2 linked regions of the Canis lupus familiaris genome follow. The protein of the gene in region 1 interacts with the protein of each later gene in a pairwise test. Links are inferred from orthologs where the notes say so. Each region holds a gene or a part of one and is shown in the gene's direction. Other genes may lie near its edges.

Region 1 (3,500 bases):
TTTTATTTATTTATTTGACAGAGCGGGGCATATAAACAGGGAGAGTGGCAGGCAGAGGGAGAGAGAGAGAGAAGCAGACTCCCCACAGAGCGGGGAGCTTGACATGGGCTCAATCCCAGGGTCCCAGGCTCATGACCTGAGCCAAAGGCAGACGCTTAACCAACTGAGCCACCCAGGCACCTCCCCAACAAACTTTTTGTTACTTTCTTAAATCTTTTCCATCTCAATAAATGGTACCTCATTTACCTACTAGTGCCAGAAAGTCAAAAGCCTAGTAGTTATCCTTCATTATTATTATGCCTGACAGGATTAATCTATCAGCAAGTCCTGTCCATTCTGATTTCAATTATATCTTGAATTCAAGCATTGAATGCTATCTTGCTTCTAACCCTAGTCCAAATCACCATCTCTTACTTAGGCTACTGCGGTAGCTTCGTAACTGGTCCCCCTGCCACCATTCTACCCATACCCATGTTGATCATCTGCAGAAAAGCCAGAATGAATGTTTTTATTTGTTTGTTTGTTTTGTGAGCAATGGGGCGAAGGAGAGGGAGGGAGGGAGGAAGGAGGAAAGGGCAGAGGGAGAAAGAGAGAATCTTAAGTTCCATAGATGCGCAGCACATAGGGCTCAATCAATCTCACAACCCTGAGATCATGACCTGAGCCGAAATCAAGAGTCACAGGCTTAATGGACTGAGCCACCCAGGCGCCCCCAGAGTGAATGTTTAAACCACAAATCAGATCTGTCACTCCATTGCAACCAGAATAAAATCCAGACTCCAGACTGTGGTCTTACATGGTCTGGCTCCTGATTATTTTATTCCCTGACATCATCTTTCCACACTCTTTTCTGTGCTTCCTCATCAGCTCTTGTCCGGTTCCTTAAGGATGCCAAACGCATTGTTCTCAGCACTTTGTGTTTACAGTGTCTTCTGTTTCGAATGCTCCTTTGATTTACAAGTGACTGCTTTCTTCTCATCACTCAGGTCTTTTCACTGTGGCTGTCTTTGAGCAGCTCCCCTTTAATACTATGATTTTATTTGTGTGTGTATTGCTTATCTTCCCAGGTAGGATGAAGTTTTCTTAACCTCAAGGACTTCATCTTTCTCTTTGTGAACTATAAAATAGTATCTGGTATGCAGTAGGGTTTTTTTTGGTTTTTTGGTTTAGAAATGTTTTTTTAAATATTTTATTTAAATTCAAATTTACCAACATATAGTATAATACCTAGTGGTCATCTCATCATGTGCCTTCCTTGGTACCCATCACCCCATTACCCCATCCCCCCTCCTACCTCCCCTTCACAAGGTAGGGTTTCAATAAATATTTATTGAATCTTGATTAACTGATTACTCTGAAGTAATATCTTTATTGTTGACTGGAAGAAAATCAGTTAGGTTCTGAGAATTTTTCTGTGTTTAGACACTGAATTTTGTTTTGATCAGAGGTCTGGGAGGTAAGTCATCCAAGAAAGAAATAGAGTAATTTGTTAAAAACAAACAGAACAGGGATCCCTGGGTGGCGCAGCGGTTTGGCGCCTGCCTTTGGCCCAGGGCGCGATCCTGGAGACCCGAGATCGAATCCCACGTCGGGCTCCCGGTGCATGGAGCCTGCTTCTCCCTCTGCCTGTGTCTCTGCCTCTCTCTCTCTCTCTCTCTGTGTGACTATCATAAATAAATAAAAAAAATTAAAAAAAAAAAAAAACAGAACAAATAAAAACCCTCAATACTATCTGTCCATATATACTATTACTGTATAGTTGGGAAGTAATTTTCTGATAAATTCTAACTAGATAGAGGATAACAAAATTTAATAACTAAGTCTTTGATCTGTGCCTGGGTTAATAATGTGTTGAGTGGTAAAGGATCCTAATTTTATCTACTTAAGTTAATACGACTTCTTCAGGAGTAGTCCACTGATACCCCATAGCCCATTTTTATTTTTTTAAATGGTGAATTGATATTTATTGTGGCTCAGTGTATCTGTTAGGAAGAAGGAAGAAAGTGGGACATTAGGAAGCACACATCTAGTTGAGTCCTTAAAATGATTTTAGCATCATGGAGCTATAATGGCCACAGGTTGTTAGCTCACATCATTGTGGAGCTTTGCCATTACTAAGGCAGATTACTTAACATATTAACCTTAAAATTTGAAAGGTAGGTAAGGTTCATTTCTAAGCATTAAATTCATGACTCACGGGACAACGTTTCGGGATGGCCAAGTTTGTCAGCAAGTAGAATGGAGAGAGTCCAGACTTACAGAATCTTGAAATTAGAAGGAATTTTGGTGATATCCCTGTGAATCATAGTACGGTGGATAAAGTAAGTGTAGTGTGGATTCAGATTGATTACCGAGGCAGATGTTTGACTGTTGGTGATGTCCTGATGTTCTTTAATCATGTGTCTTATACTCTTCTATTTTATTCTTTTCAGACTGGCCCTCACTGCCATAAATAAATTCGAAGAAGCAGTTACAAGTTATCAAAAGGCGTTAGATCTTGACCCTGAAAATGATTCTTACAAGTCAAATTTGAAAATAGCAGAACAGAAGTTAAGAGAGGTATCCAGTCCTGTAAGTTATTGACGACAGATGATGGCAATATTTTCTGTCATTCACAATTTATTACAATCAAATTGCAGTGGTTAAAATAATTCTCAAATATCATTGTTTTACAGACAGGAACTGGATTGAGCTTTGACATGGCTAGTTTAATAAATAATCCAGCCTTCATTAGTATGGTGAGTAGATTTCCTTTTCTGTTCTGCTGGCTGTCTTTCCATAGCGTTATATGGTTCCCAGGCTTTTAGAAACATACAAGGGAGCTTTGGTGGTGGGGGGTGGGGTAGGGGTGGTGGTAGGGGTGATATAATGCTCTGGCTCAGGTTTTTAACCTGCCTGTGTACCTCTTTGTGAGAAAGCCCAGAGAGACTTTAGGAGGCCCATGGATTCCCTGAAATTGTATATAAAAATTTGTATGTAAGTGTACCTATGCATTTTTTAGGGAGAGAACTGTATTTTTCATCCGATGGACAAAGGGGTCTGAAAATCAAAAGGTTAAAAACAAGTCTTTTCCGTGAAAGCGGCCCTAGGAAGATCTCTAGTAATTGAGGTCTGAGTGGTTTGACTGTCACGGTACCCTAAGGTCTCCTCTTTTGGTCTGCTTCCTTTCTATCCTGAGTTTATTTGAACTTTTAGTATAATCCTTATATGTATGTATTTCATCCTTCAACAAAATCACTCATGGATCTTTTTGAAGACACACATGCTCTGATCCAGTTTGTGGAAACTGATTTAGTGGGTCGGGGATGTTACATGGCCATGTAAAGCTCCTTGAGTGATTATTTCTGGTTGAGAACCATTCATTCTACTACATGCCATGCCCTTGGAAGGCAGCAGTGCCACTTGTATTCATCTTTGGTTCTTTCAAAAAAAAATGTGCCCTGCATCCACGGTATCTTTGTTTGCATTGAAATGCACAGATGGCTCATTCTTGATGAAAT
Region 2 (3,500 bases), on another chromosome or scaffold:
ACAAAGATGCCTTATGCCTCTAGCTCTCCAATAAAATGCACACACACACACACACGCACACACACACACACACACACAGATGCCGTATTTCCAATGGACAGCTCAAGGCAAGTTCTCATTAAAACTTTTCTCTCTTTATTCAGTGGGTATCTTCTAATGAAGAACCATTTATGTTTTCTTCAATAAAGATTAATTGCACATACTCAACTTTCAAGTTATGAAAGTGGCATTTTTATATTCAGCTCAAAATGTAACAAAGGCCCCGAGTGAAACTTTGATTTGAAATATAGTTCCTAGACTTAAAATGACTGAGTCCCAGGATTAAGCCAGAAGGGGATGAAAAACATCGACACCTTCGGTCATGAATAGCCCCTGAACAAAGATCAAAGCTGAATTGTCTCCTAGGCACATACACCTTCCCAACAACAGTGCAGTCAGAATGAGACAGCAATACATAATAGGACAGTGGTGATTTTTAGCTGACTCTGGTGGCATCATTTGGCTAGTGGTAATAGTTGGCATGTTTAAAGATCTTTATTGTTCATGTAGACAGCCAAAGTATATACATTCGTGAACCTGAAGAAATAGGCAATTCTGATTCTTGCACATCTCTAGAGCTGCTTATAGGGGTTGCCTCATAAATTTCACAACATGGACAGGTGCCATTGCTCACAAGAGAGCAATTCTTAAGCTGGAATAAAAGCAATATTGAAAAGGATTGCTCATCACTGTCATACCCCCATCAGTATTCATTAGAATTCTCCTTCCATAAATATCACATGTTGTGCAAAGAATGAGGTTCTAAAGATAAATTTCCAACAAGTAAGAATGAGCTAAATTTGACTATAAAAAGGGAATTTCCTTCAGCCTGTTTAAATGCACATTCTTGTTTTTGACAAATTTCAAATTTACATGGACATTCTTTCTTCCTATATAAAAACTGAGTTCTTTATAAAATGCATATTCTATGAAGACAAATGCTTAAAATATTTATACTAACTCAGAAAGGACCGTTAGTTATACGTAAGGGTGCAAAAAATGGTGATATGAATCAGCGCTTAGAAGCAAAGCTGAAAAGCTGTTGTTTTTATGTTGTTCAATATGTCAGTATACATTATAATTATTTTTTAGGGGAAGAATTTTCTGTGCTGAAGTCATTTTTCTCTGCCATCTCAGAGAAAAAGCAAGAATTTACATTTAATCTTGCCAATGCCCTCTACCTTCAAGAAGGATTCACTGTGAAAGAACAGTATCTCCATAGCAACAAGGAATTTTTTCAGAGTGCCATAAAACTGGTGGATTTTCAGGATGCAAAGACTTCTGCAGAGACAATAAGTACCTGGGTAGAAAGCAAAACAGATGGTAAAGTTTCCCATTTTCATACACTCATTATTTGCCATTGTATTCACGGTTTTTAATATCCTAAGTAAGAATGGTTGAATATTTTCCTACTAAACTACGGCTCAGAGGGATCTCCTGTTTTGCCGCCCTGTTATTCAAATTAATTCTGAATTGTAAAACTGAGAGAAATTGTAAGCTGCTTTGAAAAGCATACAGAATTTTTGGGGGAGACACCCATTTACAGAATTTTTAATGGAAAACCTTTAATAATAATTTTTGTTTAAGCATAGGTTTTTAGCCTATGGCAGCAGAAATAATATCTTTGGCCAGGTAAAAATTGGATCTGTCAATTTCAAGTGCCTTTTTTCCCACATATACTGTAAATAATTAACACATCTTAGTTGGATGTGTTAATGTTTAATAATAAATGTTGATAGTCCTATCATAAACACGATAATTTCAACTTTAATTGCAATACAATCCAGCCAAAATTCTTCAGTGACTGTGGAAAGACACCGTAGAAAGAACACAGGCTTAAAGTCACTCAGATCAGAGTTCAAATCCTACCCAGTTCTAAGCTATGCCTCACCTAAAATGAGGATATTTTAAAAATGTTTCAGAGGTTATTTGAAGGTTTGATAATAATGTCTGTGAAATAACAAACATAAATTAGATCCTAGCTTAACAGTAGTTTGGTTCCTTGTTCATTTATTCTGCTACAAAAATCATGATGGCATAAGGTGCTACCATATTCCTTATAGGAAGTTTCACACAGGGGGGCATGGTTGAAAATGTGGGATGGATGGTTTGAGTGGCGTTCGCAGGTAAGTATCATTAACAGGACTCAAAATGAACATCCCTGGACAGTTCCATGGCGCTCGGTCATGCTTTTATCTCTTAACTGAAATAGCCATTGGACATAGAAATAACAGACTGGTTGTTAAAAAGAAGAAAATCATGCTAGCAACTCCTTTCTTGTCCCTTTCCCAGTGGGCAGTGGTGGTAGCCACAGTAGTAGGAGGTTTACCATTACCATTACTACACCAGTAGAAGGTGTACCATTAACTTATTACTTCTGATGGACCTGCTGGAAAAACTTGAGACAAAGTTTGAAAAACATCAATAAATATGCAGGAAGAGACATTCAGGTCTTGTTCTTTCTGACTGAAAAACGATTTACACAAATATTCTTGCTGGAGAGTCCATTATTAGTAGGTCTGTCCAGATTTGCCTAAGACAATCTTGTATCTCCTGTTTCCTAGTGAGATTCTCTTGGTACCTGTTTCTAAGTGAAATGTTTGAGAGTGCTCCCTTTTTTACTGTCAGAATTGCCAAGGTTAGGTAAAAAAGCACCCTGTTTATAACTGATCTGCAAAAGAAATTTTTGTTTTAATTCTATTTAAAGCAGCCCCACTGAACCACTCTTGCACATGTTTCCCTGTTTCGTCCTCCACCCCCGTCACAGGGAAAATTAAAGACATGTTTTCAGGGGAAGACTTTGGCCCTCTGACTCGACTTGTCCTGGTGAATGCTATTTATTTCAAGGGCGACTGGAAGCAGAAATTCAGAAAAGAGGACACACAGTTGACGAATTTTACTAAGAAAGATGGTGCAGCAGTCAAAATTCCAATGATGAAGGCTCTTCTGAGAACAAAATACGGTAATATGAAAAATCACTCTCCGAAGCATGATTTGGGGAATTGCCAAGAATATTTATTTAATATTTTCTTTCTCTGTTCCAGGTTATTTTTCTGAGCCCTCCATGAACTACCAGGTTTTGGAATTGCCTTATAAAGGTGACGGGTTTAGTTTAATCATCATTCTTCCCGCAGAGGACGTGAACATAGAAGAAATGGAAAAGCGAATCACTGCTCATCAAATCCTAAAATGGTTCTCTGAGATGCAAGAAGAGGAAGTGGAAGTAAGCCTCCCTAGGTTGGTAATGTCATTTTATTATTTGGTTCTTATGTTTTCACTCATGGAGGCATTTGAATAGCTGGCTGAAAGATAACAAATATTTGAATAGGCTATTGATGAGAAGAAAAATGCATTTGAAAATATAGCTCCACTTTATGGATACAAAGGCAAGCCTGAACATTGGCAGTATTGCTTTGCCATGAGGAGCACTGAATTTAAGTGCTCAATATTCCCCGAAATAG

The links.
Region 2: the proteins of SGTB (region 1) and SERPINI2 interact in binary tests that used the Homo sapiens proteins (3 or more experiments, as listed by UniProt). The two-hybrid records come from large-scale screens. The link is inferred for Canis lupus familiaris from reciprocal best matches to the Homo sapiens genes SGTB and SERPINI2.

The regions. Positions count from the first base shown.
Region 1 is NC_049223.1:50,639,680-50,643,179, reverse strand, and holds part of SGTB (small glutamine-rich tetratricopeptide repeat-containing protein beta), read left to right. Parts: intron 1-2,432; coding exon 2,433-2,571; intron 2,572-2,675; coding exon 2,676-2,738; intron 2,739-3,500. UniProt on the Homo sapiens protein: Co-chaperone that binds directly to HSC70 and HSP70 and regulates their ATPase activity.
Region 2 is NC_049255.1:32,597,272-32,600,771, reverse strand, and holds part of SERPINI2 (serpin I2), read left to right. Parts: intron 1-1,131; coding exon 1,132-1,362; intron 1,363-2,806; coding exon 2,807-3,001; intron 3,002-3,083; coding exon 3,084-3,276; intron 3,277-3,500.